Anolis sagrei: one gene and its partners. The protein of the gene in region 2 purifies or fractionates together with the protein of the main gene of each other region. This does not show direct contact. Links are inferred from orthologs where the notes say so. Each region holds a gene or a part of one and is shown on either strand. Other genes may lie near its edges.

Region 1 (3,750 bases), on a different chromosome or scaffold from region 2:
GGGAGTCTCTCATTTGGTATCAGCCACTGATTGAGGTTCTGGGTTTTAACCTGCCACTTCTTGCTTGCTGAAGTGTTCCAGCGAGTGTCTAGTGTGATGAAGTAGCCGGAGAATTCCCAGGCTATTTCCAAAAAGGTTATGGAGATTTCCATTGTCCAAAACTTTCATGGCTCAGGAATACTATGTAACAATTGAAGAGAGATATTGACAAGCTGGAATGTGTCCAGAGGAAGGCAAAATGATCAAGGATCTGGAGAACAAGCCTTATGAGGAATAGCTTAAAGACCTGGGCATGTTTAGCCTGAAGAAGAGAAGGCTGAAAGGAGACATGATAGCTATGTATAAATGTGTGAGTGGAAGTCATAGGGAAGAGGGAAACAAGCTTGTTTCCTGCTACCCTGGAGACCAGGACTTGGAACGATGGCTTCAAACTTCAAGAAAGGAAATTCCATCTGAACATAAGGAAGAACTTCCTGACTGAGAGCTGTTCAGCAGTGGAACTCTCTGCCCCGGAGTGTGGTGGAGGCTCCTTCTTTGGAAGCTTTTAAACAGAGGCTGGATGGCCATTTGTCGGGTGTGCATTGAATGCAATTTTCCTGCTTCTTGACAGGGGGTTGGACTGGATGGCCCATGAGGTCTCTTCCAACTCTATGATTCCTGAGAGTTGCAGTTCTTGAATGTTTCCAGCCTTCTCTGCCAAAGCATGCTGGTGCTTCAGCAAACTACAACTCCCACGATGCCTGTAGCATGGAGGCTTGGCACTTCGAAGGGCTGTCAGGCGTGCACTCAAGGCGTCCAAGTTGGAAGGCAAGTTGCCCATGCTTGCCGCCCCTTTGGCCCAGCCACTCCTCCAGAGGTGGGCGCTTTCCACGAAGGAGAGACACGAGGGGGAGGAAGGGAGACGCTGTATAAAGAGAGGCGGCTGGGAGGGCTGGGGAACAAAAGGCGGAGAGGCACGCCGCTTCCTCCTTTCTCCCTTGCGCGCTCCCCCTTTTCACTCCCACTCCGCCTCCGCGCGCGCTTCCTTCCCTTTTTTCCCGGGGTCGCCTTTCGGCCCTCCGCCTCCCACTGGATCCCGTGACGGCTCCCCAGCCAGGCACGCCCTGCCAAGAAGGAGAAGGCAAAGACAGCAGCAGAGGCGGCAGGAACCGCAGCGGCGCCGCCACGGAGCTTCCTCGCGCGTGGGCTTGGACGCCCTGCGCGCGGGGCAGCAGCAGCAGCAGTAGCAGCAGGCGCGATCCGGGCTCTTCTCGTGTTCTTCCCCCGCGATGGGCTCCACGGAGGAGCTGCTCTGGCTGCAAACGACGGAATGTGTCTTGGGAAAGGAGTGGGAACGGGAGCCGGCGGCGCCATCGCGCTCCTCCTCGTCCCCCCTCGCCATTGGGAAAGCGAGGAGGCAAAGGAAGAAGCAGCAGCAACCACAAGAGCCATGGACACCCGAGGAAGAAGAGGAGGACGAGGACGAGGAAGAGCGGCAGCCCCAACAGCAGGTGAGCCGATGCTTGCCTCTCTTACTCTCCCTACCCACAAGGTTTGATATCCACAAGCCTTCCCCCATTGATTCCCACTGGCCATGCAATCAATCCATCGTTCTCATGGATTGGCTTGTGATGTAACATAGGAGACTGCTGGATTTACAGGTAGAAAGGCAGGGAAGGTGTCACCTTTTGTTCCTGGCTCCTTTTGTACACTCCTCTGCCTCCAATCTGGATTTTGTTGCCTCCCACATGGACTGCAAAACCCATGCCAAGTGTTGAAGCAGACTGTGAGGCTTGCAGGTAAAAAGAATTGGAAGTTGGCATTTAGGAGAGCCGGTTTTGTTCCAGGCTGCAAAGCTCTTGGTTAAAGGAGGAGGAGGAGCCACAAGAGCAGGTGAGCCCAGGCCTGCCTCTCTTGCCCTCGCCACCTGCAAAATAATAATAGTAAAATAATAATAATAAAGGTGGTCCTAGTGATGATCGGCCCACTGGGTGCAGTGCCTAAAGACCTTGGCCTGCACTTAAACACAATCGGCGCTGACAAAATTACCATCTGCCAGCTGCAGAAGGCCACCTTACTGGCACTATTCACCGATACATCACACAGTCCTAGACACTTGGGAAGGGTCCGAAGTATGATCCATTTCAACAGGCAGCAGAGTGTTTGCTGTGGACTCATCTTGTTGTGTTTCAAATTATTATTATTATTATTATTATTATTATTATTTATACTCCGCCACCATCTCCCCAAAAGGGACTCAGAGTGGTTTACATGAGGCTAAGCCCAGCAATACATTACAGCAACATAAAATATAAACAACAAAACAACATCACAATAAAATAAACAAACCAGTGCTGGGGAAAAAGCAGCGTGGCCGCACACTGGGTGCAGTGCCTAAAGACCTTGGCCTATACTTAAACACAATCGGCGCTGACAAAATTACCATCTGCCAGCTGCAAAAGGCCACCTTACTGGGATCTGCACACATTATTCGCCGATACATCACACAGTCCTAGACACTTGGGAAGTGTCGGACATGTGATCCAATACAACAGCCAGCAGAGTATCTGCTGTGCACTCATCTTGTTGTGTTGCAAATAATAATAATAAACTTTATTTATATTCCGCCACTATCTCCCCAAAGGGAACTCGGAGCAAGTTACATGAGGCCAAGCCCAGCGATACATTACAGCAACATAAAATATAAACAACAAAATAACATCACAATAAAATAAACCAGTGCTGGGGAAAAAGCAGTGCTGGGAAAAAGGGGATACAATGTTCTCTCGCTACGGTTTGCATGGACTCGCTGTTTCGCGGGTTGTTGCCTCCCAGTTGACAAATGGTTGTCATTGACCAGTGCAGCATTTTAATCCCGCTTATTGGCAACGATGGAGTGTGGAAGGGGGGTTCACCCTCCCCATCTTGAGAGAGGCAGCCAATCAAGAGAAACTTCAAAGCAAAAAAATAAATAAATGTGTATGGTGCCTTTAAATCTCTCCTCACTTCTACCTCACCTTTGGAACTGAATATACATATATAGCCTCCCTACTTCGCAGGTTTTCACTTTTTGCGGGTGGTCCTGGAACGTAACACCTGTGATAAGTGAGAGAACACTATATGTCAGACCTTTCATCCCCACTGTGGTCCCATCTACACTGCCATATAATCCAGATTATCTTCTTCGAACTGGATAGTTTATGTATTAATTCAATACATTTTTACTGTAAAGGTAAAGGTTTCCCATGACATTAAGTCTAGTTGTGTCCAACTCTGGGGGTGGTGCTCATTATTTCTAAGCTGAAGAGCTGGCATTGTCCATAGACACCTCCAAGGTCATGTGGCCAACATGACTGCATGGAGTGTCATTACCTTCCTGCAGAAGCAGTACCTATTGATTTTCCCATATGAACCGACATGAGCTCTAAGATCTGTTGAGGAGGACCTTCTCTCGCTCCCACCTCCATCTCAAGCATGGTTGGTGGAGACGAGAGAGAGGGCTTTCTCGGTGGTCCCCCGTTCCCCCCCCCCCCCAGCTCTGGAACTCTCTCCCCAGGGAGATTAGATTAGCACCTACCCTGTCCATTTTCCATAAAGACCTAAAGACTTGAATGTTCCAATGTGCTTTTGATTAATCCGATTCACTAGGTGATAACCCCTCCCCCAGCTATAATACTGGGCACTTGAACTTTATTATTATTTCTTTCCTTGTAGTGTACTCTACTAATTGATCTGACCCCTCTAGCCCTCATCAGGCCTCTGGCCCTTGCA
Region 2 (3,750 bases):
ATATGGCCATGTTCTGGAGGCAATTTTTCTCCTGACGTTTCGCCTGCATCTATGGCAAGCATCCTCAGAGGTAGTGAGGTCTGTTGGAAGTAGGAAAAATGGGTTTATATATCTGTGGAATGACCAGGGTGAGACAAAGGACTTTTGTCTGCTGGGGCTAGGTGTGATGCTGGATGGCCATCTGTCAGGGGTGCTTTGAATGCAATATTCCTCCTTCTTGGCAGGGGGTTGGACTGGATGGCCCATGAGGTCTCTTCCAACTCTATGATTCTATATCCAGCTCTTTAAGCCGCTCCTCAGAGGGCTTGTTCTCCAGACCCTTGATCAATTTAGTCGTCCTCCTCTGAGCACATTCCAGCTTGTCAACATCTCCTTTCCATTGTGGTGCCCAGTCATGGGAGTCCCTTGTGCCAAGTTTAGTTCAATTCCATTGTTGGTGGAGTTCAGAATGCTCTTTGATTGTAAGGGAACTACAATTCCCAAATGACAAAATCAGTCCCTCTCCAACCCTAAAAGTATTCAAATTTGGGCTATCGGGTATTTTGGTCCAGTGAATGAAAATACATCCTGCACATCGGATATTTCCATGACGATTCCTAACAGTAGCAAAATGACAGTTATGAAGTCGCAAGGAAAATAATGTGATGTTTGGGGGGTCACCACAACATGAGGAAGTGCATGAGGAAGGTCGAGACCCACTGGACTAGATGACCCTTTGGGGGAGGTCTCCTCCTGCGAGGCTGTGCGCCTGTGCTGCTGCTGCTGCTGCCGCGCCCTCCTTGCCCCCTTCCCCGGCTCTGCTTCACCTGCCTTGCCGAGACTGGGGCACTCTCCGCCAGGAAGCGTCTCCCCTCGGCGTGCCCCTTCTGCTGCTGCTCCTGTTCCTCCTCTTCTTCCCGTCCCTCCTTCCCCATGAGCCACTCCACCCCTTCTCCGACTCCCTCCTCCACGAATTGGTGGATTGGTGGGCTCGTTCTGGTTGTTTGTTGATCCTTCTTCCTTTTTCGGGTGGGAGAAGGCGGGGACTGGCGGCTCCGGAGGCGGCGGCTCCTCTCTTATTATTGGCACCGAGTTGCGCTTCTCTTCCTCAGCCTGCAAGAGAAGGAAGAGCCGCCCGGACGCTGGGCAGAGACAGAGACAGAGAGATACTTCTTGCTCCGCTTCCTCTTGGATTACAGAGCCGACAAGAAGGACATTGGGTGGCCGCTCTTCCTTCCCTTCCCTTGCAGAAGTGTGCCCAAAATCCACATTGGACTCTGTGTGGAGGAGAAGAAGGCAAAGCACCGCCCTCTCCATCAACATCTTCTTCTTCCTCCTCCTCCTTCTCAGACCATCTCTCCAAGAAGGCATCTCTTGGTGCTCCTCTTGCCTCCAAATGCCAGCTGATCGAGAGGCGAAGAGAGCATGAAGTTGGGCAAGAAGTCCTTCTTCTCATTGGCATTGCTTCTCCTTCTTCTCCTTCTTCCTCTCCACAGACAGGCAGTCGTCTCTCCCCGGTGAGACCTTCCTCCTCCTGGAGACGTTTCTCTTCGAGGCAAAGCTGTGAAGGGTTTTGTTTTCCTCCTTCTCCTCCTTCCTCCCTTCTGTTGTGACTTCCTTGCGAGCTTTTCTTTCCCACCCCTTTCCAAGCCAGCTTGGAAATGGCAAAGGCAGTGACGCCTGGAAGAGGAACAAGTGTGGGAAAAGGCAGAGGAAACTGGAGCTGAATGACAGGATGCGGGAGACTTGAGGAGATCTAGTATATCCACACGTCCTTTGCTACCAACGGGACTCTGCTTGCTGCTATTGCTCCTGAAACAGCTTGATGCATATTGCTTGTGTTTTTTGAAACTCCCTTTCCTGGAGGATTTAAGATTGCGTGCGGAAACAGGGATACTCTGTTCTCTTCCTACAATCCTCGAGGACCAAGAAAGGAAGATGGATTGGGGGCTCTTCCTGAACTATGTCGCCCTCACGGCCACCCTTGGCAGGGCTTTGAAGAGCGGTAAGTGGCCACTTTGCATGCTTTCCAGGGTGTATCCAGGTAACTGCCAGGAAAAGGGCCCTTTCCTCTTCTTTTTTTGTTGTGTCAGGAGCGACTTGAGAAACTGCAAGTCGCTTCTGGCGTGAAAGAATTGGCCGTCTGCAAGGACCTTGCCCAGGGGACGCCCGGATGTTTTGATATGTTACCATCCTTGTGGGAAGCTTCTCTCATGTCCCCGCATGGAAAGCTGGAGCTGACAGAGGGAGCTCATCCACGCTCTCGCCAGATTCGAACCTCCGACCTGTCAGTCTTCAGTCCTGCTGGCACAAGGGTTTAACCCACTGCGCGACCTAGGGCTCCCGTGAGATTATTATTATTATTATTATTAATTTCCTGCATTTGTACCCGCCCTTATCCCCCGTGGGGGACTCAGGGCGGCCTAAAGGTTCAAGTCTGCAAGGAGGCACATCACAACATCCCAGATTAGGTGCAACTTTTCTTTTTGTGTGTGTGTGTCCTGTCAGGAGCGACTTGAGAAACTACAAGTCGCTTCTGGTGTGAGAGAATTGGCCGTCTGCAAGGACGTTGCCCAGGGGATACCTGGATGCTTGATGTTTTGCCATCCTTGTGGGAGGCTTCTCTCATGTCCCCGCAGGGGGAGCTGGAGCTAATAGAGGGAGTTCATCCTTTCCTCCTTCCCAGGTAGGTTAAGAAGTCGACCAAAAAGCAGGCTTCAGACTACTCACTCAGAAACAGGACAGATACTACTTTATCACATTAGAGAATGAATCCACTTTCAATCCGGTTGCTGCCTCCCACGGAATTCTGGGGTTTGTAGTTTAAGGAGGAGCCTTTAACAGCTTCACTAAACTACAAACCCCAGAATTCTACAGGAGGCAAAAACCAGATTTAAAGTGGATTCATTCTCTAGTGTGATGTGGTCCATAAAGACTCATACACAAAGTACCCAGAGTTGCACCTAGTCTCACAGGAGCCCTAGGTCGCACAAGGGTTAAACCTTGTGCCAGCAGGACTGAAGACTGACTGGTTGGAGGTTCTAATCCAGGAAGAGTGTGGATGAGCTCCCTCTGTCAGCTCCAGCTCCCCATGCGGGGACATGGGAGAAGCCTCCCACAAGGATGGTAAAACATCAAAACATTCAAGTGTCCCCTGAGCAACACCACAGCTGATTCTCACAAGAGAAACCTCTGGCAATTCCACAAGGTGTCTCCTTTAAAACTGGACAGATGAGTAGTTTTTTTTTAAAGGAGGAGGACTCTTTTCCCCATTCTGTCATTCATTCATTCATTCATTCATTCATTCTTCTTTGGATCTATGTGTAGTATCTAAGAAAGATAGACATGTCCTTTTCTTTAACTTTCTATATGCCTAAACAAAAGAGCTTGAGTTTACAAGATACTTGTCATGCTGTCAGTCTCTGGCATTATGAGCTGCCAATTATGACAGAAAGGAGGAAACCAGGAAAATGAACAAAATCTGGCTAACAATATTAGAAAAAAAACTCTAAAATCAGGACAATAAAGAAAGAACGACACTCAAAAACGGAGGGATTCCAGACAAGAAACAATCAGGGCCAGCTAATCACCTCCCAACAAAGGATTCCCCCAGGCAGGAAGCAGCCAAGCCTTGATGCTGCAAGGCTTTTCAGTGCTAATCAATTGCAACATTCACACTTGCCTCAACAGACAAGAGTTCTTTCTCCTACTTTGGACATTCCACAGATATATAAACCTCACTTGCCTTGTTTCCAACATACCTCACAACTT
Region 3 (3,750 bases), on a different chromosome or scaffold from region 2:
AGGTCATTTATCCCAGGATCTGATTCCAGGTTTTTTGTTTATCCCAGATTATCTGGCAGTGCAGATTCATATAATTCAGTTTAAAGCAGAAAACTTGGGACTGGATCCTGCGATATGGGGCCTGTCTGGAAGAACTCTGTGTTGAATTGGTTGAGATTCTATGAGATATTCATTGAAAAACTATATTAATTGATTGATTGATTTACGACATTTATATGCCGCCCTTCTCAGAGCAGGACTCAGAGCGGCTTACAAGATATATATACATACAATATATTATATTATTAGCATAGTACAATATCAGTATTAAATATTACTATATTGTGGTATACCATTATATTGTAATATTATTAGAAATATTACATGTAATATAAATATATAATTATATCATAATATTATTATTATTAGTAGTAGTAGTAGTAGTAGTAGTAGTAGTATAATACTATTAAAAAAAACTATGACAAAATGTGCCACAGGATGACCCACAGAAACAAAGTTTTGGCAGTTTAATTAACTTTTTCCAAGTTTCTACAACAGATTGCATTAGGAAATGACATTTATAACCCAGGAGCAAAAATCATGTTATATAGTGTAATCTAAACCTTGGCCACATTGTTTCCCCTGATATAGAGGTGAGTCATCTCCCTCCTTTCCCTGAATCCCACCCTTGAGAAAATCCAGCAGGAAGTTTGTCACTTTCAGCAGCACCAACATCGCTTGGAGAAGGAGACTTTTCCCAAATCACTACGCACATCAAACTCCTTTTTTTCACTCTCTCTTTACCCATGGCTAGAGAACTGACACTGCCCATCGGGAGTAGAGCACTCCTATGACTGGGTTGTTGTGAGTTTTCCGAGCTGTATAGCCATGTTCCAGAAGCATTCTCTCCTGACATTTTGCCTGCATCTATGGCAGGCATCCCCCCAGAGGTTGTGAGGTCCTATGGCCTCACAACCTCTGGGTCTTTCTTAGTGGGTCTCTCTAAGAACTCATGTTGACAGTGAGATTTTTCTGCCTATGCTACTCATGTGCCTTGGGCTAAGGGCTATGCAGGACAAAGCATGGCACACAACCTATGGTTTTCCCAACCCTCCAAACTCCTTGCCAGGGAAAAATTGCTCTCTTGTCCCTTCTCCATAGATTGTGGAGGGCTAGGGAAGATCCCTTCCCACCCAATCCCTGGATCCCCTGAGTGAAAAAAACCAAGAGACACTCAAAGAAGGAGCCTCCACCACACTCCGCGGCAGAGAGTTCCACTGCTGAACAGCTCTCACAGTCAGGAAGTTCTTCCTAATGTTCAGATGGAATCTCCTTTCTTGTAGTTTGAAGCCATTGTTCAATTACGTCCTAGTCTCCAAGGCAGCAGAAAACAAGCTTGCTCCCTCCTTCCTATGACTTCCTCTCACATATTTATACATGTCCTCATCATGTCTCCTCTAAACCTTCTCTTCTTCAGGCTAAACATGCCCAGGTCTTTAAGCCGCTCCTCATAGGGCTTGTTCTCCAGACCCTTGATCATTTTAATCACCCTCCTCTGGACACGTTCCAGCTTACTTACTTTTAAAGGAGTTGTCCTACTCCCAAAACTTTGTTTTTTTGTGGCTGCTACAAACTATGTCAATGTTTTTATTAGGAGACACAAATGATGTATGCTTTTAGTATTCTTGTTATGGTTTTATATTATGTGTTAATGTTTTTAAATGTTTTATTATGTTTTTGGGCATCGAATCATTGCCATTGTAAGCCACCCTGAGTTACCTGAAGGCTGAGAAGGGCGGTATACAAATATAGTAAATAAATATGTCAAATTGGTTGAGTTTCTTGTGAGATATTCATTGAAAAGCGAGAGCAACCTGTGCTGCGGGATTAAGTTTAGGCAGTTTAATCAACTTTTCCCATGCCTTTATGATAAAACCAGTCAGGAAATGGCCTCGACAACCCAAGAACAAACATCATATTAGATAGTGCTATTGTTTATACTTGGCATCTTCGGTATGGCTTGGCGGTCTCCCATCCAAGTGCTATCCAGGGTAGACCCTGCTTAGCATCCCACCTCAGAGGGGATCTGCTTCCTTTAAGGTAATCATATTACATAGTGTTATCACTGACACTTGGAATCTTCGGTATAGCTTGGCGGTCTCCCATCCAAGTACTATCCAGGGCCGACCCTGCTTAGCATCCCAGCTCAGAGGGGATCTGCTGTGTTTAGGGCAATCATATTACATAATGTTATCATTGACACTTGGAATCTTCGGTATAGCTTGGCAGTCTCCCATCCAAGTGCTATCCAAGGCCGGCCCTGCTTAGCATCCCAGCTCAAAGGGGATCTGCTGCCTTTAAGGTAATCATACTTCATAGTGTTATCATTGACACTTGGAATCTTTGGTATGGCTTGGCGGTCTCCCATCCAAGTGCTATCCAAGGCCGACCCTGCTTAGCATCCCAGTTCAGACGGGATCTGCTGCCTTTAGGGTGTTTATAGATGCCTCCCCTCACAAGACAATAACAGCAGACAGCTCGTGCCTGCCTTACCTGAATGGACCCTCCAAGGCTCTGCAAGAAGCAACAGCAGGACGAAGAGCCCCAGTGGGGCGCCCAGCTCCATCTGTCCTCGGAGCAGCACCAAAGGAGTCCAGGGAAGGAAGGGATCCTGGTCAGTCTCAGCGCCCTGGCATCAGCTTCTCTCCCTCTGGCTTTGGATCCAAGCGCTGCTCAATCCGAGAAGAAGCTCAGGCAGATGGAAATTGGAAAACTGCTGTGCCTTCCCGCAGACCAGCCACAGGAGCCTGGAAGGCGGGGCTTTCCCAATCCGGGAGGACCAATCACAGGGCGCAGGGCTTCTTCTACGTTCCGAGGGGGAGGAGCCTTGCCAAGCCCCGCCCCCCTTGAGAGTTCCCTCTACTTAGCTGTAGGAGCCTTGTCTTTCTATGGGGGGGGGGGGGGGGAGGTGTTGTACCTACTAAGCATTAGAATTCTGCTCCAATTTTCAGGCATTGCAGTGTCTTATAATACAATATATAAAAATATAATCTATATAAATAAAAATGTAATGTTCGTTTGTGGGATTAACAGAACTCAAAAACCACTGGATGAATTGACACCAAATTTGGACACAAGACACCTACTGACCCAAGAAGTTACCATCACTCAAAAAATTGATTTTGTCATTTGGGAGTTGTAGTTGCTGGGATTTATAGTTCACCTACAATCAAAGAGCATTCTGAACCCCACCAACCAGGCATGTAGCGGGGGGGGGGGGGCTTGAGAGGCTTCAGCCCCCCACCCTCGAAATTCTTATTCTTACTGGTACATTATTTAAACTGTTACGTTTATTCATATCATGATCTGATCACCATGCTCAATATATCCCATATGCATGGGGGTATTGGGATAATGATACAAAAGGTTTGGTAGGATAGATCCTCAGCCCCCCCCCCCCTTTTTGAATCAAACTCAGCATCCCCCGAATCAAAATCCTGGCTACGGGCCTGCGACCAACGATGGAATTGAACCAAACTTGGCAGACAGAACTCCCACGAACAACAGAAAATACTGGAAGGGTTTGGTGGGCAGTGTCCTTTGGTTTTGGAGTTGTAGTTCACCTACATCTAGAGATCACTGTGGACTCAAACAATGATGGATCTGGACCAAACTCTACATGAATACTCAATATGTCCAAATGTGAACACTGGTGGAGTTTGGGGAAAATAGAATTTTGACATTTGGGAGTTGTAGTTGCTGGGATTTATA

The links. The genes of interacting proteins can lie anywhere in the genome.
Region 1: the proteins of NRP1 (region 2) and FAM241A purify together in Homo sapiens (affinity purification with mass spectrometry; 3 studies listed by BioGRID and IntAct, with this or other methods). This does not show direct contact. The link is inferred for Anolis sagrei from reciprocal best matches to the Homo sapiens genes NRP1 and FAM241A.
Region 3: the proteins of NRP1 (region 2) and KDR purify together in Homo sapiens (affinity purification with western blotting; 7 studies listed by BioGRID and IntAct, with this or other methods). This does not show direct contact. The link is inferred for Anolis sagrei from reciprocal best matches to the Homo sapiens genes NRP1 and KDR.

Annotation. Positions count from the first base shown.
Region 1 is NC_090025.1:32,299,471-32,303,220, forward strand, and holds the start of FAM241A (uncharacterized protein FAM241A), read left to right. Parts: upstream 1-871; 5' UTR 872-1,268; coding exon 1,269-1,490; intron 1,491-3,750.
Region 2 is NC_090026.1:112,929,406-112,933,155, reverse strand, and holds the start of NRP1 (neuropilin-1), read left to right. Parts: upstream 1-948; 5' UTR 949-1,917; coding exon 1,918-1,984; intron 1,985-3,750. UniProt on the Homo sapiens protein: Cell-surface receptor involved in the development of the cardiovascular system, in angiogenesis, in the formation of certain neuronal circuits and in organogenesis outside the nervous system. Mediates the chemorepulsant activity of semaphorins.
Region 3 is NC_090025.1:73,774,548-73,778,297, reverse strand, and holds the start of KDR (vascular endothelial growth factor receptor 2), read right to left. Parts: upstream 2,766-3,750; 5' UTR 2,606-2,765; coding exon 2,533-2,605; intron 1-2,532. UniProt on the Homo sapiens protein: Tyrosine-protein kinase that acts as a cell-surface receptor for VEGFA, VEGFC and VEGFD. Plays an essential role in the regulation of angiogenesis, vascular development, vascular permeability, and embryonic hematopoiesis.